3 linked regions of the Caenorhabditis elegans genome follow. The protein of the gene in region 3 purifies or fractionates together with the protein of the main gene of each other region. This does not show direct contact. Each region holds a gene or a part of one and is shown on either strand. Other genes may lie near its edges.

Region 1 (9,832 bases), on a different chromosome or scaffold from region 3:
TGCCCAACTAACCTTAATAACTGTTACATCGTCCACGTACTGATGACAAGACTCATTATGTGACGCGAACTCGTCCCATACAAAATCAGCGTGACACCCTCGTACAAACGCGAGCTTATTGTTCACCGGAATCATGAGTTCGAAGCACATCGATGCACAGTTGCCAGAAACAGTACTCACTAAACTATTCGGCGTACCGCATCTGAAATAAGGGTGTCTGGTTGCATTTAAGTTATGCCGCTAGGTGTATGATTATAACATGAAAACGCACTTGTCATCAAACAGGAGATTCGCCGGTTTCAGCGGAAGTCCTGTTGCTCCCCAATCTTCCATTAAGTTTGATGTTGCACACTGGATGCAATCTTTGTCCTGCGCCCGGACTCCCAAAATCCACATCATAAATGTTAACAAAAAAATTTGAATTTTCAATGACATCATTATGCCTTTTTATCTGAAAAAATATTTATATTTAGATTAAATAAACATAAAAAGAATAACAAGAAAAAGGACAAAATTCCAATTGAACGAGCCGGGACAATTGAGCACTCGGAGCACTTCTTTTATACGAAAAATGTTTGTTTGTCTATTAAAGTGACTCAAAAAGTCATAAAAGGGGTTCTGAAATTCTGGAAAAGTCTGAAAAATTCTCAGAAAAAAAACAAGAATTTACGACCGTATAGGCAAATAGTTTTCAGAGAATGTCAGTTTTGAGAAGAGTCATGAGTTTTAGTGTATTATGTGCAGTGAGTCAATTATACAAATAAGAACAGGAAAATACTGTTATAGAATTGGATTTGGTTTTTTTTTTTAATTTTTTAATCATTGTTGCAAAAAAATTAGGAAAAAAACATATATTACGAGAAGACAAAAATCCTGAGAAAGCATATCGCCTAACATATCTCTAAATCTAAAAATATCTCATAGCGAAAACTACAGTAATTTCATGAAGGACTACTGTAGCGCTGGTGTCGATTTACGGGTTCGGTTTTCGAATTTTCTTTAGTTTTTTCGTACTGTTTTGTCCTTTTTTGTGTTTTCTTTCGATGTTTCATCGATTAATAAATGATGCCCGTAAATCGACACAAGCGCTACAGTACAGTGGATGGAAAACGATTTTTTCCGGCCAATCGGCAAACCGGCAAATCGGCAAACCGGCAAATTGCCGATGTGCCGAATTTGCCGGAAAACTGGAGTTTACCGAAAATTTTCGGCAAATTGTAGTTTCGCACTTATGTTTTTGGAAATTTCAGAATATCAATTTCAAATGACAAAATTAAGCGCATCCTATGAATGTTCCTACATCTATTTTGAAAAGTAAGCAAATTCTATGAAAATATGTAGAAAAAACGGGAAAAAAATTCATAAAGACACAGTTTTAAGTGTTTCCTTATAAAAAATCCCTCTAAACAATTCTGGCAAACGGGCAATTTGCCGGAATTAAAAATTTCCGGCAAATCGGCAAACCGGCAAGCAAATTGCCGGATTTGTTACAATTTTTTGAACAGCTAATTTTTTTTTGAACTTTTCAGAAAAAATTGAGGAATTTTTTTGAAGTTCTTTGAAAAAATCTTCAAAAATTCGATTTTTCGAAATATTTTAATTGTTTTCTTGTCCCGCAAATCATTCGTAAATTAAAAAAAAGTAATATTAAAGAATCTGTATTAAGAAAATAACAAACAAGTGAAAAAGTCAACAAAACAGGTAACAATGAAAAAATAGTTTTAAAAATTGGGGGAAAATTTGGCAAAAATTCCTAATCCTTGTGTCCTTCATGTTTTGCAAAAGTTTCAGCAACCAAAAGTGGGAATACAAGTGTCGCCTCAGCATGAACCTTCACAGCTCCAGCCGACGGCTTAACCTTCCCCCAGCTCACTGCCTCGTCGGGTTGAGCTCCAGAATCGGAGCCATCGAATTCTTGGCCGGTGTTGATGTAGACGGTATGATCTGCGCCGTTTCTCATGAGATTCGCGTTGTTGATGTGGTGTTTTACGACTCCTGGAATTGTAGGATTTTTTGACAAAAATGGGGAAAAATTCTGGAAAGCATTTTTTTCAAATTTTGTGAATTTGATTTTAAAAAATTAGTTTAAATTCTTTTTGTTTAAAGTCCAAATTTTTTTTTACATACTCAGCTTTTTTTCAAAGAAATTTTACGTTAAAATTTTCGAGAAATTTTTTTATTTTGGAAAAAACTAGAAAAAAGTGTATGAAAATTAAATTTAACAATAAATTTGGAAAATTGCTTTCATTACTATGGTATTTTCAAATTCAAAATTCAAAGTTTAATTTTTTTCTCAATTTTTTTCAATAATTTTTCAATCTTCAGAAAACTGCAAAAAAAATGTTGGAAAATTCATAAAATTTTTGAGAAAAAATTAATTTAAAATTTCTAAAACAGGGTTTTTCACATATTTTTTTTAATTTCGGACCTCCTCCTAAAATAATTGATCCAGTCTTGAAACTTTTGACAGCAATTGTATTAATATGTCGAACGTCCTCTACAATATCCACACGAAGCCCAGGTGAGCTTTTCACCGAATGGAAGTACAACATGTCACCTGAAAAAATTGACTAAAATAAAAATTTTTTGAATTTTTTTTTCAAATTTCAAAAACTTTAACAATTTTTTGCAAATTTTGTTTAAAAATAATGCAATTTTTTTTTTCGATGCTCTCTTATAAAAAATCCCTTTAAACATTTTCGGCAAATCGGCAAAACGGCAATTTGCCGAAAAAAAATTTTTTCCGGCAAATGGGCAAATCGGCATTTTGCCGGAATTTAAAATTTCCGGCAAATTGGCGGAATTTAATATTTCCAGCAAATCGCTAATTTGCCGAAAATGAAAATTTCCGGCAATAGGCAAACCGGCAAATTGTCGGAATTAAATATTTCAGGAAAATCGGCAATTTGCCGAAAATGAAAAATTACGGCAATCGACATATTGCCGGAATTGAAAAATTTTGGAAAATTTGGCAAATTGCCGGAATTGAACATTTCCGGCAAATCGGCAATTTGCCGAAAATGAAAAATTCCGGAAATAGGCCAACCGACAAATTGGCGGAATTTAATATTTCCGGCAAATTGGCGGAATTTAATATTTCCGGCAAAACGCTAATTTGCCGAAAATGAAAATTTCCGGCAATAGGCAAACCGGCAAATTGTCGGAATTAAATATTTCAGGAAAATCGGCAATTTGCCGAAAATGAAAAATTCCGGCAATCGACATATTGCCGGAATTGAAAAATTTTGGAAAATTTGGCAAATTGCCGGAATTGAACATTTCCGGCAAATCGGCAAACCGGCAAATTGGCGGAATTGAAAATTTCCGGCAAATCGGCAATTTACCGAAAATGAAAATTTCCGGAAATAGGCCAACCGACAAATTGGCGGAATTTAATATTTCCGGCAAAACGCTAATTTGCCGAAAATGAAAATTTCCGGCAATAGGCAAACCGGCAAATTGTCGGAATTAAATATTTCAGGAAAATCGGCAATTTGCCGAAAATAAAAAATTCCGGCAATCGACATATTGCCGGAATTGAAAAATTTCGGAAAATTTGGCAAATTGCCGGAATTGAACATTTCCGGCAAATCGGCAAACCGGCAAATTGGCGGAATTGACAATTTCCGGCAAATCGGCAATTTGCCGAAAATGAAAATTTCCGGAAATAGGCCAACCGACAAATTGGCGGAATTTAATATTTCCGGCAAAACGCTAATTTGCCGAAAATGAAAATTTCCGGCAATAGGCAAACCGGCAAATTGTCGGAATTAAATATTTCAGGAAAATCGGCAATTTGCCGAAAATAAAAAATTCCGGCAATCGACATATTGCCGGAATTGAAAAATTTCGGAAAATTTGGCAAATTGCCGGAATTGAACATTTCCGGCAAATCGGCAAACCGGCAAATTGGCGGAATTGACAATTTCCGGCAAATCGGCAATTTGCCGAAAATGAAAAATTCCGGCAAACCGGCAAATTGCCGAAAATGAAAAATTCCGGCAAATTTGCCAACAAATTCTTTCAAAAAATTCAATTTTTTTTCCAATTTTTCAAAATCTTTGAATATTTTTTTTTGCAAAATTGATAAATTAAAAAAAATCTATTTTCAAAGTTTTTTCGAATTTTTTCTCCAAAATTCGATTTATTTTTCAAAATCCAAATTCAAAATCCCCTACCCAATGACCCATCAGTAAGCGCCGGACAAAATACGGGAATCCGATGCTTGGCCGCCCAATACAGTATCGACGATTCATCACCAATCCGTTCACCAAGCCGTTGAATAAGCTTTGACGGTGTCCAATTGAGATGCTTTTCCTCTTGTTCAACAAGACATTCATCAAGAATTGGCATAAGCCAATCCTCAAATGCACAATAATTATCATTCGGAATGAGCACATTGCCGGCTCGATTCATTCCATTCGATCGAAGTTTTGCACCGTCCATTGTGAATGTACCGAGGTAGGAAGGTTTGAGACATTTGATGAGATCCTCTTCGATGCCTCCCGCTGATGTTACGATACAGTCGACTAGGTTACGTTGGACACAATAGCGGAGTACCTGGAATTTTTAATTTTTCATTTGGGTGGATTTACGAATTTAGAGTGAATTTACGGTACCTTTATGTAGATTTACGGGGAAATTTCAGGTTTTGTGTAGATTTACGAGACGCTAATTTCGGTGTAGATTTACGGAAGTATATGTTCTTGTGTAAATTTACGAGAAATAACAGCACATTGAATTTGAATTTAAAAATTTTTTTAGAGACGGTTTGGTGTGGATTTACGGGGGCATTTTAGTGTAGATTTACAATATTTCTTAATGGATTTAGGCTTCTGGGCCAATTTTAGAATTGATGTGTAGATTTACAAGGAGAATCAGTTCTGTGTAGAATTACGGTGAGCATAGTTTTTGTGGGTAGATTGACGAGAAAGCTGAGTATTTATTTTCCTGTGTAGATTTACGAGAAGTATTAATTTTTGTGTAGATTTACAGGGAAATTGTGTTTTTTTTTGTAGATTTACGAGAAGCAGGATTTTTTAGATGTAGATTTACGACGAATACAAATTTTATTTAGATTTACGGGGAATTTGAATTTCTGTGTAGATTAACCAGGAAATTCCGTTTTTATGTAGATTTACGGAGAAATTCAATTTTGTGTAGATTTACGAGGATCAATTTTGTGTAGATTTACGGGGAGATTCAGTTTTGTGTAGATTTACGGAAAAATATATTTTTTCTTGTGTAGATTTACGGGGATTGGTGTGGATTTACGGGGACATTTTAGTGTAGATTTGGGTCATTTTTAGAGTTGATGTGTAGATTTACAAGAAGAATCAGTTATGTGTAGAATTACGGTAACCATAGCTTTTTAAGGTGTAGATTTACGAGAAACTTTGATTTTTGTTGTAGATTTACTTCATGTAAATCTAATTTGTTGGTAGATTTACATGAAGCACTAGTGTTTCAGGTGTAGATTTACGAGGACTTTCAATTTTTGTGTAGATTTACGGGGAATTTTAATTGTTTTTTCGTAGAATTGCGGGAAGCACTAATTTTTCACGTGTAGATTTACGGGGAAATTCAGTTTTCGTGTAGATTTACAAAGATCAATTTTGGGTAGATTTACGGTAAACATAGTTTTCGTGTAGAATTACGAGGAATTTCAACTTTTGTGTAGATCTTTTGTAGATTTACGGACCTCACGAAGCCCACTGGTCACCAAATTCGACGTGTATCCGAGGAAAATAGTACATGATCTCTTTTGCCGACCTTCTGGATATGGGAAAAGCTTCTCGTCGTCGTCACAAGTCAACGGAGTATCACGGAGGGAGAGCATTTGATTTACTTGCTGAAAATTGGGAAAATTCGGAATTTATTGAGTAAAACAATTTTTTGCTGCTATTTTTCCAAATTTTTTGTAAAAAAAATTATTTTTTGAAGTTAAAATTCTTCCAGAATTTTATTTTAAAAAATCTATAAGTCCGACTATTTCAAAAATTAAAAATAAAAATTTTTGCGATTTTTTCAAAATTTTTTAAAAATTTAACTATAAGTTTAAAAAATTTTTATTTGGAATTTGAGAAAAAAAAATAAAAAAGGTCGACTTTCTCAGAAAATCATAAAAAAAAGGAAAATTTCCGCCTAAAAAATGTAAAAAAGCATTTTCGAAATACATTTTTTTATGATTTTTTTCTAATTTTTTCTTTTTTACATTATTTTATGTTTAAATATAATTTAATTTCAACTTTCCCAGAATTTTTTTTTTTTTTAATAAAATTTTTTTTCGATTCAAAAAAAATCAATAAGTCTGACATTCTCAGAAAATCATTAAAAAACCGGGAATTTTCGAATTAAATTTTTTTTTCGAAATTTTCAATTTTCCTTCTGATTTCCAAATTAAATCTGAATTTTTTGCAACTGGCTACCTGAATAGCCTGAGCCAAATGTGTTGCCTGAAATCCTGTGCTCATATAAGACGAAAGAATGGCGGAAAGCGAGAAATCCGGACCAGAAGCCGTGCTGAAATCGAATCCGCGAATCGGAATTGAACCATCCGGTACTTGACATGATTTCACGAGAACTGCTCCCTGAGCAAGTGCTATATCCTCCTGAGATGCTGCTGCTTCGTTGGTGCTCATTTTGGAGCAAGTTTCTGAAAAATTGAGGCGGGTTTTTACTGAATTTACTATTAGTTAGGTGTAAAATTAGACAAAATATTAAAATTTTTTGAAAAAATCCAAAAAAAAAAATACAATAAATCAAATAAAATATGATTGAAAACTGAATTAACAAAATTTGTACCAAAAAAAATCGGAAAAAAATGAATAAGCATAAATTTATAGACATTTTAGCAGGAAAATAGAAATTAAAACCGGAATGAAATCACATAAAATCAAATCAATTTACAATAAAAATGCCGATTTTTATACAATTTTTTTTAGCAATTTAGATTTCGTAGTTTAGAAAAAATTCAGAATTTTTTTTTCGAAAAAAAAAACAACTTTTTTTTGGTTCGATTTTATAAAGAAAGTTCACAACAAAAAAAAACCAAAATTTGTTTGAAAAAAATAAAAATCATCGAAATTCGATTTTTGTAAAATTTCTCAAAAAAAATCCGTAATTAATTCAAAAATTCTCAATTCGTTTAAAATTTAAATTGTGGAAGTTTTTCCGAAAACAAAAATTCCGAAAAATGCCAATTTTTTGAAAAATTTCGCTTTTTTGGAAATTTTACTTTCGTAATTTTAGAATTTTGTTCGTTTCCATAATTAAAATTTCATTGAAAATCATTTAAATTCTTTTTTTTTTCAAAAAATCTGTAATTAATTCTAAAAATTCTCCCAGATTGTGGAACTTTCCAAAAACCAAAAAGAAAGTTTTTTATTCGAAATTAAGATATTTTTTCTAAATTAAAACAAAATAATTTTTTGATTTCAAAAAATTGTCATTTTTTAATTTAGAAAAATTTAAAACGAATAGAGTATTTTTTGAATTAATTATTTAATTTCGGATTTTTTTTTAAATTCGATCGAATTCAGATGATTTTTAATCAAATTTCAGTTTTTTTTTCCAATTTTGTACATTTTCTGAATTAAAAAATAGTAAAATTCCTCAAATGTTCATTGAAATTTCGAAAAAAAAAATTCTGAAAAAAATTCTTTTGCTAATTTTTTCCATAAATACAAATTACAAAATTTCTTTTAAAAAACACTTTTTCTTGTTTTTTTTTTTAATTTTTTTTCCAAAATTTAGATAATTTTACAATGAAAAAAGCTTAAATTTTCAAGAAAATTATATTAAAAAACCAAAAAAAAAATTAGAATTTATTCTTCATTTCTCTCAATTTGGCCATTCCCACGACCGCATCGCATGTCCCAATCGATTTTTGAATTTCCTCAGATTCCCGTACCCTCATAAATGGATTCGTTGCTTTTTCCTCAGCTACAGTACTCGGAACCGTAAATCCACCCTGCTCAATTTGTCGTTGAGCCCACTCGAGCTTCTGAGCAGCTTTCTCGTTGCCAGGTTCCACGTGGCACGCGAATTTCAGGTTGGCGACAGTGTACTCGTGTCCCGGAAATATTTGGGTCTCGACTGGAAGATTTTTGAGAATTTCGTTGAGTGCCACGTCCATTTGTGGTGCCGTGCCCTCGAAGAACCGCCCACAACCGGCGATGAATAGGGTGTCACCGGTGAAAACGACTCCAGGGGAAGTGGAATCTGCGGCAGGATTTGTGATGTGGTAGCAGATGTGACCGGATGTGTGACATGGAGTGGATAGACATTTTATCTGGAAATTTTAGGAATTTATTAGAGAAAAAAAGGATTTTTAAATACTTTTTAAAGGTTTTTTTTCGGATTTTTTTGGATTTTTTTTTGTTCGATTTTTTTTTTAATTTTGGATTTTTTTTGTTTGATTTTGCAAGAATTTTTTGAGGATTTTTCGGATTTTTTAATACTTTTCAAAATTTTTTTCGGATTTTTTGAAATAATTTTTTTGGATTTTTAAATACTTTTTAAAGGATTTTTTTTTGGATTTTTTAAAAAATTTTTTCGAGGATTTTTTGGGACTTGTTTTGGAGTTTTTTTGGATTTTTAAATAATTTTAAAAATACACCTTTTTTCTGTTTTGGAATATTTTTTTGAAATTATTTAGGGTTTTTTTTTTGGATTTTTAATAATTTTCAAAGGATTTTTTTGTTAGATTTTAAAAGAATTTATTTTGTTGGTTTTTTTAAAGAATTTTTTTTGGAATTTGGAATTTTCTTTTGAATTTATTTAAGAAATTTTTTTGAATATTAAAAAAAATTGCAATAATTAATTGCAATAAAATTTGCACAATTTCAATCATTGTGTCATTTTTGTAAAACAATTTTTGAAAAAAACCGCAATTTTTGATTTTTGTTGAAAATATCTGATTTTAAAACATTTTTTCACGAGAAAATATTCAGAAATTCAAGAAGATAAGGTTTTTTTTTAAACTGGAATTTAAGAAAAACTGCAGCGATTTTTTAGAAAAAAGTTAAAATCTGCAATTTTTTCCGTTTTTTTTGCTGAAAACTGCTAATAAATTTTTTGAATAAAAAATTCCAATTTTTTTATTATACCAACAAAAAATCGATTTTTTTTTTGTAGAAAAAGGGTTGAATTTTCAAAAAATTTTCAGCAACTTCTGGAAACCCCAAGTTTTTTTATTATTTCAAAAAATTAAAATTTCATGCTAGGTCTTCTAAAAAAACCAATATTAAAATTTTGGAACAAAAAAAATTTAATTTTTTTTTCAAAAATCAAATTTCAAAAAAATAACCTGAAGCCCAGCGAACTCTGCCATATCACCATGCTTCACGTGCCGATCCATTGCCGGAATCCTTGAATCTCCACCGAGAATCATGACATTCGGGAATTGACGACGAAATCCTTCATTTCCACCACAATGATCATAGTGGTGATGGGTGGTTAGTACTGCTGTTATATCGATCTGTAGGAGAAAACAAATTAATTATTGACAAAATTTTTATGGCGAATAAAAACTGTTTAAAATGGAAAGTGAATAATGGGAAAAAAATCATTTTTTGGAAATTTTTTTTAATTGAAAGTATTTTTATTTTATTTTTAAATAAAAAAAAATTCTATTAACCCTATATATGCTCCTGATACCGAATATCGATCTAAAAATATTCAAAAAAATTTCCCTGATTTTATATTAATTTTTAAAAATCCGAAAATCCATTGGTTTGTTAATTTCAAACTACAAATTTTGAATGATAACTGTGCCGCAGGTGTGTGGATTTACGAGATTAATATTTTTAATTCATTTTTATTTAATTTT
Region 2 (5,987 bases), on a different chromosome or scaffold from region 3:
AAGTTGAGTGAATCCCACATTTTTTTTAAACGAAAAGGAAAAGTTTTTTTCGCCGAAAACACGAAGAAAGGGAAGAACAAAAAATCTACAACCCTGTTGCCGGTGGGGTTAATTTACTTAAAATGCTTCGAACAAGCCACGAAGTATAAGTTATTAAAAATTAAAAATGTTTTAAGTAACAGTCAAAAAAAGGAAATTCTTTACTGTTGTTGCCATCAGGGCTGTACATTTTTCGGTTTCCGTTTTTTTCCTGCTTTTGAAGAAAATTTATTTTTAGATATTTTCGGAAAAAAAAGAGATCAATAAAGTAACTGACGAATTCTTAAATTTGGCAGTGTTACTATCCAAAAAAAACACTCGAAATTATAACTTGAGTGTTTTTGTCGAGAATACCTTTTTCGTTTCCGGTTTCGGAAAATAATTGTTTTCGGAGTCCGCCCTGATTTTCATTCATCAATAAAACGATTTTAAGGGCTTTAGATTTCAATTACTTTGTAATTATTCGTATTTAATCATTTTCAGGGTTCAAGACTGCAGCAATGCTTGAAACTACTCAACGATAAATAAATGACTGAAAATGTTGAAAAATCTGAAAAGTTTCGAAGTGTGCATTCTTGACACTCACTCATGTTCTACCAAAAATTTTGACGACACTTTCAAAGTTTCAATAACTTACATCATGAAGTAAATGACCCATGAGAGTACTTTTTCCTGCATCGACATGTCCAACGACAATCAAGTTAATTAAATCTTTATCAGCAACTCTTGGTTTTGGTGTTTTTCGGGCAACTGACGGAGCTTTCGCGATGTTCTGCAGTTGATTGCGTCGAAATGATGTTAAATCGACTTCAGAAGATGGGCGGCTCACAGTTGGAGTTGTTGATTCTGCTTGAAGCTGAAAAATTAGTATATATAAGATATAAATAAGATGCGAAATGATGCTTTCAAAGAAAATTCTCGTATTGGATTACGTGATAACTTAAGTTACAGTTGAATTTTTTAAAGTATTCTCGAGCTCACATTTTTAACTTGCGGCGTTCTTTTTGGAGTATTCAAATTGCTAGACGTTTGTGGTGTACTCGGTCGACTATTAAGATTCTTCGGTGGTTTTTGATTTTGATGGAGCAATGGAGCTGTCATATTTCGTACAATAGTAGAAGATAGGGAAGTTGTTGGAGCTGCAGTAGGTGTTGGAGTTGATACAGGTGGATGATACGATGATGATGGAATACCAGGATGTGGAGCAGGAAGAGCTGGTGAATTGCGACCACTATCTGTCAGATATGTATAGTAGTTTGTGGATAATGAATTACGATCATATGTATATTGCTCTGAAAATTTTAATTAATTATTTGAATGAAAAATAAAGTTTTTCTTACTTTCCGGGTTCTCCTCATCTTCATAATCGTCGTAATCGTCGTCATAATCGTCGTCCATTTCTGAAAAGACAAAATTGTTAATCTTCGGTTTCTTTTTTTTGAAGCTTACCATCTTCTAAATTTAAATTTCGAATAGCACGGTGGCGGGACATCTGAAGAACTGTTTTATATTTAATTCGCAAGTTTTCTTTCCCATCGTTCAAATAGATAGAAAGTTTCGGAAGATTTACAACCGATTTAACGAAATCATAATAGAAACATGGAGGGATAATAAATTTTAATTCAATAATAGCATAACAATAATAAGAAAGATCCTACTACAACAAAAAAAATTCTGAACTTCTAAATGAGATTATTTTTCAGTCATAGTTGGTGGTGGATGATAGAAGAGATTTGAATGAATAACAGTTTCAGTAAGTGAAGAGATTAAAGCTGGTTCATACTTTCCAACTGTTTCAAACGATTTTCCTTCGATAACGTCAATTTGGCGCATTTCTTGAGCAAGCTGAAATTTCGTTTGAATTTGAAACGTTTCAGAAATTAGTTTTAAAAAGGGTATTTTCAAAGTGTATATTTTGCTTACTTTATCCAATTCATTATTCAATGCTTTCCTCTTCTCTTGTGTCTCTCTTTTATGCTCTTCAACTTCTTTATCGTACTTTTCGTGCAATTCTTCCAATCGCTTCTCTTTTTCATTTTCAACTCTCAACTTTAATTGTGCTTCGGCCCATGCCTGAAATTTGTTGTTTTTTTAGTGTTTAAAGTTATCAATTTGCAAACTTTACCTTTCTAGTTTTCACATGAGCTGGCTGTTTCGGTACATGATACGAAATTTTCAGAGCGGCAATTGTTTTCTCGAATGCAGTCTCATTACGTTCACGTAAAATACGAAGAGCTTTACGGCGTTCATTGATTACGAGCCAGATTCGATGGGTGAGCCATGTTGGCTTCTGCAATAAATGTTAGAAATATTGCCTTTTTAAAATGTTAAACTACTTTTTTGGTTTCCTGTCCAATGTCATTAACAAGAAGAGACCAATGCCGAATTAAAGCCGTTAGCCAGGCAACTGAAATTAATTTTAGATAATATTTTGTGATTATTTCTCAAACAAACTTTTCATTTCCAAACTATTTTCATCGAGAGAATGCTGCCTTACTGATTTGATAAGACTTTGTTTCCATTCTTGTGACAACTCTTTTCTCGTCGCCATTTCAACACTAAAAATCTTTTTGACAGACTCTGGAGCATTCGAAAGAACATCTAAATCTTCATATTTCGCACGAGTTTTCGATTTTTCAATACGAGGCAATCCGAATTCGGTTTTTTCGAGAATCTGCAAGAATATTGCTTATATCTATAAAACTCTTGATTATCATACCAAATTATCAGCTGCTTTCAAACCCAAATCGCGTTCACTGCCAATTTTTTCGTAGTAAAGCTTCGTAAGTGCATCGATGTAGTTTTGATCTGAAAATCACTTAATAGAGATATATATCTCGGTACTTGAATATACTCACCCAGTGGCAGTTCTCTCGCTTTTTTCTCAAAGTAATCCGGATCTTGCTTGGCTGGGTCGGTGACCTGAAAATGATATATCAAATTGTGGCTAGTTTTGTTTTTTTTTCCACCCACTTTTTGATGAACGTTGTAGAACGCTGTTCTTCCTCGTTCCAGCCGACACGATGTGTGCACAAATCTTCGAAGATTTATCATCTGAAAGTATTATAGAAAATTGAACAAAAATACCGTTCAAAACTGACTTAATATTAATTAATCTAATCATTCATGAAAATTAAAACAAAAAAAATTTCCACGGCGCCTTGGAACTCAATGAGATACGGTTTGTAAAAGTCCGCAAACACCGTGCCGCTCAACTGCGGACAGCCTCGCTGAATTAAAAAAACCAAGGATTTCTTTCTCGATTGCTTAAAGGGTCCCACCACGATTCAAATATACTACTGTCTTGATTAAAACGGGCTGCTTGTATTTTGGGGGATTTTTTTAATGAATGAGCACTCATGGGCAACATTATTCCCTTTCTATTAAGTTTCATTTAAGGAACAAATAAATTTTAATGATCTATTCAATAATTGATTCCCTCGTCTCCCAATTTTATTGCCTTATTAATTTCGAAACACATTCTCTCATTCACACTCGAAATTTTCAGCGATGGCGACCCACAAGCTGAGCTTCTTCGAAAAGTTGGCCAACACCTTTGGAGCTCTTTACCGTCATCAAGCTCAGCAGTTCCCACGCCGTCTCGCTATTCTCAAGGCTGTTGGAAAGCACGAGCTGGCTCCACCCCGGTCTGCTGACATCCCAGCTATCAAGGCGGACTGGGCTAAGCTCCAGAAGTTTATTGAGACCAAGCAATATGTCAACCTTAGTATCAAGGTAATTTGTTACACGCTGAAACAACACTCAATAAAAAATAACTTCAGGAAAGTCTCGTCTACTCGGCAGTTGCCCTCGAGGTAGTCTTTTGGTTCTTTGTCGGAGAAATGATTGGACGTCGCTACATTTTCGGGTACATTGTTCCAGCCAATTATGTCTCGAAGGATACAAAGGCTAAGGTTGCCGAAAAGAAGAGACTCGCTGCCCTCGAAGCTTAATACATCGATAAGCATATTCATTTGTGAAAATATGTGTTTTTTCTTCAACGTTTGTTAGATAAAAGAAATTAAGGCTTTATTTTTCTAGTTCAATACAAAAAATTACAATCCACTAGTTTCTTCTCCAGCCTCTCGAGTGTAATCCTTCCGATCTTCCTCAAAAGTTTCAAGTGCCTTATTTTTCACTGCATACTGTCTTTTCAGAGATCGGCCTTTGAAAACATGAGAAGTGATTGTTGGAGCAAAAATGATTTGATTCGGAGCGCTAAAAATAAAACTCGTTAGAGAAAAATCAGTTTCGAAATTCTTACTCGGTCGCATCATCCTGGCTTATTGAACTTGTAGAGAGGGTTTTATCTACAGATACTTGTTTCTTGTTGAATTCAATAGTACCGTGCAAGGTATTCATGAAAACAGCATTTCTTTCACAACTCTTCTTGTATCTCGCATTAATTGATGCCAAGGACTCGGACATGATGGTGTTTGCTGTGTTGCTAGGTGGTTCTGTTATTCCAGCATGTTTAACTTTCCCCCCAGCAGTCATTGTCTCAATCAACTTTTCAGCAGTAACCGTGTACTTTCCCTCTGGATCATCGTCCAACGTCATATCCTCTCTGAAATTCAAATATTAAGATCCAACGGATGCAAGCCACGAAAATTACTCTTCGTCTTTTGCCATCCAATAAATCATCTTTCCTTTCTTCAATTGCGAACGGGAAATCGGTTGTTGATACCAACTGGCTGGGAACAGGGCTCTTTTGTCGTCAGTGGTATTCACAACTGAAAATAAACACTCCGATTTCTGTATTGTTTCGTAGTTTTACCGAATTTCTCCATCGGGGCTGTTGGCTCTAAAACTTCTTTTTGCTCCATTGTTTCCACTTTTGTTTGCTTGGGATCGACAGGGGCAGCGTATAAGCTAAAATATGATAATTTCTACATAAAACCATTCGACCCATTGAAACCTTTTCATCTGATCGTACTCTGCTTGGGACTTTTTTATGTTGTCCTGTTTATCTTTCCTTTGCTCCAAACTGATTTTCTGTTTCTTACGAAGAGCGTCCAGTTCCTTTTCACGAGCTGCCTAAAGTTCATGGTTAAAGTAAATTTCTCTATAATCTCTATGTTACGTGATCACGAATCGACACAAACTTTTTTTGTGGAGCCAAAGTGGATAAGTAGTATTCTTTCAATCGTCCAAATTCTACATCAACTTTCACTCCTTGACGATTGACAACCGTATTGGCTCGTTGCATCTTTGGATGGCGCTGAATTTCAAGAAATAATGTATTTCTTTTTAACTTTTTAGATGGATAGTAAAAACCGTAATTAAGCACTTCCTTTGCGCGGCGAGATATATATATATATATACTGTATGCTTACCACGTCTGAATTTTTCGATTTCGAAACGTATTGAGACTGCGTATGAAAGATTTCAACTACTTGCTCCTTTCGAAATTCTTCCCAATTTTTCAGTTGTTTCTGAGCATCCTTCCTGGAAACCAAATCAGATAAGTTATTACATATACATCAATTTATTTAATTACTTGTGAGTTTCATACTGATCATCACTCAGTTTATACCGCTGCTGCATCTTCTTTTTGTAGCTCATCTTCTTCGCCTGTTTCTTTTCATAATCAGATTTCTGTTTATCAGGCGATGGTGATAAACTGAGCTTTTGGAGTTTACCTGAAAGCGCTCGATTTTACTTTAAACCAAAAACTCATCATACTTTTTAAACCAGAGAAATTCATGCTCGCTATTTTTGACTCGAGCACTTGTGAAATGATGCGTGTGAATACTTAGACGTGAATAGAAGGATTAAATGGAAGTTTATTTATCGACTTCACGCGAAAATAAATAAAATTTACACCGAAAACGTGGGTTGGAGAGAGTAAAATGTTTTGAAAAGAAGGATACAAATAAGTTAAACATGGAGATACTGAAACGCATCCTGCACACCGGGGAAAACTTATTCATATTGACAGTTAGTCT
Region 3 (6,211 bases):
TTTTTTCGATACTAAATTGTTACTTTTTCTATTTAAATAATCTAAAAATCTAAAATTTCCGTTTTCCAATGATTCTATACATATTTTTCTTCGATTTCCCGGAAAATCAAACATTTTTGTTCCGAAAAAAAAACGAAAAAATTGATAAATTTCTCCCCAACCTCATTTGCTGGAAGTGGTCCAAGTGAAATAGCGTGTTGATCAACTACAGATAACATCATAAGAATATTCTTATCTACAGAATTCTGAAGTTCAGTCCATGGCTCAATAGATCCAAAGAAATTGCCGAGATGTGGAATTCCAGTTGGTTGTATTCCAGTGAAATATATTGTTGGATGAGTTGAAGTGGAAAGTAAACGGAGATTATTTGGCTGAAAATCATAATTTCTCATTTTCTTCAAATTTGTTACAAAATACCTTAAACCCGTAATTCAAGAGATGCGAAGTGAATTTTCCAGAAAATATCATTATTACAAATTAAGTAAAGGCGTGACGTCACGAGGTTGAAATTCCAATCGACACTGTGGGCAACGAGCAGATGAAGTTGAAGCGGATGACGTGGCAGCTACTGCGTGCTCCTGAATACACGTCCAACAGAATAAATGTCCACAGAAAAGAGCAGATGGATTCTTGTTTTCAAGACAAATTGAACACTGGAATGTTGGATGAAATAGCTGAAAGAAATTGTTATTTCAAAATTATTATATGCTCGTGAAAAACTCACCGAATTCTCGTCTAGATTCCTATCCGATCCTCCGTTGTTTTCTTTTTTCTCCTTTTTCAATTTATTATTGAATTTCTCCTGTTCTAGAAATGAATATAATGATATTCCAATACTAACTGCCAATTGAATTAATGTTATATAACCAAGGAATCGATAAACTTTCAGCGCCTGAAAACTTTAAATATTGAAAAGCTTAATGTTTTTGTGGCAAAAATACGGTACCCGGTCTCGACACGACAAATTTTTTGTTAAATTTAAAAATGTGTGCGCCTTTAAAGACTACTGTAATAATTCGCGTCTGGGTAATGAAACCCAATAAAATTTTGAAAATCTATCTAGATTGGGAGTACGGTAGCTGGAAAGTCTCACTCGTGCCGGGACCCAAAATGAGACTATCCACTTAACGTACAGGAATATCCGAATGAGCACTGGCTGATAAAAATCGAATTCCAGTGAATCTTCTGGCGATGCTATAATATGCTCCAGTTATATAGAAAAGAGCAATATGAGCACGTTGAAGTTGTGGAAAAAGTTTAGTTCTCAACCAGAAAAACACGTCAAGAAATGATTGACGAGCTTTTTGATTTTTTCGAATCGGAATTCCAAGAAATGATTCAGTTGATGGATGTGTAAGTGTTGATTCTGCTTTCTGTAAACTTATTTTCACAAATATTTTCAAAAAGAAACTATGAAAATCACCTGAATCAAATAATTTGAAATTAATGGAAATGCTGAATGAAGAAGAACAAAAGAAATCCGTGATGGAATCGATGGAACTGTTCGTTCAAGACCGTTTGATTCAAATAAATGAACGTATTCCTCGCCAAGAGTTTGATTTCCTGAACGAAAATGGGATTTCTTGATTTATGATTGAAATATTAATATTCTGACCTAATACAACTGTGCTCGTATAATAAAGAGTCGATGCGATGGATTTTAAATACGGAAACCACCGAATCCACGTACGTTGGCCCAGAAGCTCTTTGCTGACCTAGAAATTTAAGAAATTCAAATAACTAATTTTTTATCACAAAAACAGTTTGGCAATTTGACTTATTCCTGTTGTGTAATTGGATTATTCTCGTCGCGACAAATTTTCTGTTAAATTCTAAAATGTGTGCGCTTTTAAATAGTACTGTAGTTTCTTAAATTTTCAACCGATTGTTGTTACTTAAAGTTATTTTCTAAATGTCATGTGTTTGTGGAAAAATCTGTGAAAATTCCGCAAAAAGAGATTGTGAATTACTGTAATCTTTGAATTTAAAGGCGCACGCCCTTTTACATTTAACAAAATTTTGTCGTGTCGAGACCAGGCACCGTAATTTTCAAAAAAAAAATCTAATCTAATTTTTTAATTACCCTGCTCAATCTTTCTGTAATATCTTCAATATACTCTTCATCTCTTCGCTGAGATCTCACAATTTCCCCAATTTCAGCCACATATGTGTTCATTCTTCTGATATTTTCAACCGGCTGAAATCCGAATATTTTAGACAGTCAAATTAAAGAAAGTAAAATGAAACGATTGTAGATTTATGAAAAAAATCAAAAACTTATAACAGCAAAAGTCTATCTAAAGGGAAAATGTCTAGAAAACTGGAATTTGAAACAGAGAAAAAGAAAACAAAAATTGATATAATTTGTATAAACTCAAAAAGGGAAATAGAATACAAAAAAAAATAATGAGAAAGAGAGAACAAGAGACGGAGACAGAGAACAGTTATCTTATAGTGTTATCATCCGAATTAGGAAGAAATGTGTGTAGACTACAATGTTGTCCCTTTTGGGAAGAATGATGATGACCAGTTGGGGAAATGGCAAATCTGAAATAAAAAAAGTAAATTATTAGGTAAACGAAAATATTGATTACAGAAAATATTTAAAAGTGTAACACTTTTCCAATTATTTCATATTTTTTTCTCACAAACTACAAGTTTATATTGAACATGGATGTCGTCGAAAAATTTTCGATTTTCGAACTGAAAAATTGAAATTCGTAAAACTGGAAAAAATTGTAAGGAAATATAGTAGTCTAGTCTATAGACTTATCAAAAAAAGTTGATTTTTATGTAGAGAAATTACCAGAGATGAAAATTTCATTTCTTCAAAAAATTCAAAAATTTGAAAACAAAAATATTACTACATTAGAAGATTTTTTTATTATTTTTATTTTTCGATGTTCAAAAATAACTCACATCATGTCCTCTAAACACTTTTCTGTTGTATCTTATTAGCTTCTTCGATAGTTCCATGTTGTGTACCCAATGTCTGATCATACAATCGTCCTTTTTGTCGAGTTGGTGTTCCTTCTTGATATTTAACTGGTTCAGGTACGAAATACTTGTTCCCAGCCCGATCAATTGCAAAATCGTAAATTGTTGGCTTTTCGAGTGCTTCGAGAATTTTAGTTTCAAGATTTGAACGAGTAATGAATTCACTTGAACGAGAAATTGCATTTTTAACTTCATCTTCTGCCTGCTTTTTGCCTGCATTTCTTTTCTCCAATTCAACTCGAATTTCTTCCAAAATTACAGATTTTGTTTCCTTCGCATCTTCGGCTTCTCGTTCTTTACGTGCCGCCCGTTTTTCTTCATTCCGCTTCTCATTTTGAGCAATTAATTCGTCTAATTCAAGTGCTTCTGCTTCTTTCATTGCTTCGATACCCTGACCATGAGATGCATTTTGAGCAAGTTCTGCACGGAATACTTCTCGAAGTGAAATAACTGCATTGTTGTATGCATGACGACGCCAGAGGAGCTCCTCGACATCTTCTGGTTTCTGCCATGGAGCATGCACAACGTGGTAGAGAACCTGAATTTTGTGAATTTATAGATAAGAGTAACAAAATTTAAAACTGTTAAAAATTTATAGAATTCTTCTAAATTTTTCAATAAAAAGTTGCACGTTTTTTTGTTGCAAGACTGAAAAAACCCATTTTTAAGGAGTTAGAAAAATACTGTAAATTTTCTAACAGTTATATTCGGTATATTGAGACATTTTCTGTCATTTTGGGAAAAAGCCCCGCTGGCGCATTTTTTTCGGCAAAAATTGGATTTTTTTATGTTCCAATTTTTGTTCTAGTGAAAAAATCAATAGAACTCACTTTCTTCGATGGAGGCAAAATTGGTGGTTTTCCCTGCTTTGGTTGCCGTCGTCCCATTTGTCTCTTCTGTACTCCGAATACTTCGTCCATTTGTGACATGGCAGATGCCAAAAGACATCGTCCCGTTGAAGAAATTGATAAACGAGAACTGTTTATCAACATTCTGAAAATATTTTTAAATGAAAAATAATTGGGAAAACTTTAAAATCTCTATAAAAATATGTTTTAGTATGAAAACTAATAACTATAATTCAAAATTACAAAAAAACAACAGAATAAAACAAGCTCTTTAATTCGGAAAATTAACGGAAACTTAAAAACTGAATTTTTAAACAATTAATATCGAATTAAAAGGAGCAACAATCGAATCGCGATAGATACCGGAGCAAAAAAGAATCTTCAAATTAATGAACCGGAAAATGGGCAACAGGAAATGGGAAAACCAACGGAAAAAATTCTAGGAATGATTGGGAAATTCAATAGGGGCGCAAAAGTGAATAACACATCAACAATTAGGATTAAAACAGGAAAATAATAATTATAAAAGCGAAAAACTAGGCACTACATTCTCATGTAATAGCTCTCTCCATTTGGATTCTGGATCGGGGTGCTCACAGATTCGCCATTGGTTTTCTGGAAAAAACTCAACTATAATCTTAATAAGTTATCAAAAACTGTTACCTTTTTTTCAACATGCCATTCGTACCACACACCAGTATTGTCAACTTTTCGATCGATTTTCAGAGAAATTCTGTCACCTTCTCCAACTCTCAATTGATCTCTAAGTGGAATAACAGCTGGGAACCAACTGACCATTCCAGGTGTATGAGTTGATGGTTCAATTGAAAGCATCACGGTTTTGTAGAGTTGAAGATCAAAGTAGCCGGCGAATCCCATCAGCTGAAATAAATTAGGTTCTAACTTATTTGATTTTTAATTTAATAAACACATATTTTATCAATAAAATTTTTCAATTCATTGTTTTATTTTCAAAGGTGGACTGTCATTTGTGCGAATTTTGCATTTAATATAAGCAAATTACCTCAAATAATCAACGAAAAAATATTTTTAAATTTTCTTAAGAATTTCTAAGTTTTTTTTTTTTTTTTTGCTGAAAAACTTACATCTGCATTTCTATCCATAACAAATTCAATAGAATCGCTTCTCTCATTGCTTGAATTCATGAAATTTGGATGTTCAAATGTGAATACTGGTTTGGTGGTTTCGGCAAGTGGAATGTATTTTGAAAGATATACAACGTAGATTTGATCCATATTGTTACGAACATGTCCTTGTCTGAAAGAAAATGTTTATTAAAATTTAAAAAAAAAGTTTTTATGCTTTTTTTTTAATTAAAAATTATTCTAAAATAAGAGTAAATTGAAGCATAACTTGTGGAGCGGATACTCCCGTCAAGAAAAGATGGCCTAGAAACCTCCGTGTACTCGGCCAGGGCCTTTATGTACACAAGAGTAGAAAACTTCAGAAATATTTATTACCACAACATGAATTTTAGCGATACTTTTTCTAATATTACGGTACCCGGTATCTACACGATAAATATTCGTTAATACGAAACTTTTTGTACCTTTGAAGAGTACTGTAATTTCAATATCCCATGATTTTTCATAGTTTTTTAAATAAAAATCAATATCAATTTATCAAAACTAAACTAAAATAATAAAATGCCAACCAAAAAAAACTATAAAAAATTAATAAAAACTCTGCAGCAACAAGTCTTAGATTACAGTATAGTTTAAAGGTGCACACGTTTTCGCATATAACAAAGATTTTTGTTTGAATTTTTTTTTTAATTTTAAAAATTTTGTCTAATCGAGACCGGGACTAGCAAAATTTGGCATCGGGGTAATAAGGCAGAATGTTTATATTTTTATAAAAAAATTGAAAAACAAACGGGTATTTTTGAATCCACATTTCGTCTTCATCCAATTCCGGTTCACCTCTACCATGCGATGGAATTGCACGACTCAAATAAGGAATACTTTGAGCTTTAATTGTTTGATGAATATGAGTACTCATTATTGGCTTCACATAGCTAGTGTACTTCTGTGGAATTGAAATTGTTGTTGGCTTCAAAAATCCAGTGACACCATCTAGACATTCAGGACTCAACTCGTTATCTCCAAAACTTCCAAGAAGTTCCGAAACAATTATGTCAGGTTGTTCGAATCCACGATCTTTCGCAATTCCCGGCAGACTTCGCATATCACTTTCAATAATCGTTACTCGTCGTTTCCATGTTCTCACATTCATATATTTCAGAGTGACGATTGCATTTGGATTCTTTTCAACAATATAAAGCTTCACTTTGAGACTTTCTTGGCCTTGTCGGAATGTGTTGTTGTATTCTCTTTCAGATTTCA

What was found.
Region 1: the proteins of mrps-26 (region 3) and dhps-1 fractionate together in Caenorhabditis elegans (co-fractionation; one large-scale study listed by BioGRID). This does not show direct contact.
Region 2: the proteins of mrps-26 (region 3) and mrps-15 fractionate together in Caenorhabditis elegans (co-fractionation; one large-scale study listed by BioGRID). This does not show direct contact.

Annotation. Positions count from the first base shown.
Region 1 is NC_003280.10:11,989,824-11,999,655, reverse strand, and holds dhps-1 (Deoxyhypusine synthase), read right to left. Parts: upstream 6,656-9,832; 5' UTR 6,642-6,655; coding exon 6,429-6,641; intron 5,852-6,428; coding exon 5,702-5,851; intron 4,561-5,701; coding exon 4,179-4,560; intron 2,558-4,178; coding exon 2,429-2,557; intron 1,996-2,428; coding exon 1,754-1,995; 3' UTR 1,646-1,753; downstream 1-1,645. Other genes in the region: Y17G7B.23 (DUF281 domain-containing protein), read right to left, coding at 13-202, 272-396; Y17G7B.3 (hydroxyacylglutathione hydrolase), read right to left, coding at 7,820-8,293, 9,311-9,481. UniProt on the Caenorhabditis elegans protein: Catalyzes the NAD-dependent oxidative cleavage of spermidine and the subsequent transfer of the butylamine moiety of spermidine to the epsilon-amino group of a critical lysine residue of the eIF-5A precursor protein to form the intermediate deoxyhypusine residue.
Region 2 is NC_003279.8:8,689,399-8,695,385, forward strand, and holds mrps-15 (Small ribosomal subunit protein uS15m), read right to left. Parts: upstream 3,164-5,987; 5' UTR 3,141-3,163; intron 3,094-3,140; coding exon 3,013-3,093; intron 2,962-3,012; coding exon 2,898-2,961; intron 2,848-2,897; coding exon 2,759-2,847; intron 2,714-2,758; coding exon 2,494-2,713; intron 2,447-2,493; coding exon 2,376-2,446; intron 2,330-2,375; coding exon 2,165-2,329; intron 2,113-2,164; coding exon 1,963-2,112; intron 1,885-1,962; coding exon 1,732-1,884; 3' UTR 1,641-1,731; downstream 1-1,640. Other genes in the region: hbs-1 (Tr-type G domain-containing protein), read right to left, coding at 677-895, 1,021-1,331, 1,380-1,439, 1,489-1,531; asg-1 (putative ATP synthase subunit g 1, mitochondrial), read left to right, coding at 3,550-3,774, 3,822-3,992; K07A12.5 (Pre-mRNA-splicing factor SYF2), read right to left, coding at 4,095-4,257, 4,304-4,606, 4,655-4,772, 4,817-4,911, 4,958-5,076, 5,123-5,260, 5,376-5,487, 5,540-5,681 and 1 more; pbs-7 (Proteasome subunit beta), read right to left, coding at 5,965-5,987.
Region 3 is NC_003281.10:5,232,396-5,238,606, reverse strand, and holds mrps-26 (Small ribosomal subunit protein mS26), read right to left. Parts: upstream 3,991-6,211; 5' UTR 3,990-3,990; coding exon 3,828-3,989; intron 3,536-3,827; coding exon 2,930-3,535; 3' UTR 2,920-2,929; intron 2,548-2,919; 3' UTR 2,243-2,547; downstream 1-2,242. Other genes in the region: prx-10 (Tryptophan--tRNA ligase, mitochondrial), read right to left, coding at 162-371, 418-468; prmt-5 (Protein arginine N-methyltransferase 5), read right to left, coding at 4,389-4,460, 4,509-4,727, 4,952-5,123, 5,743-6,211.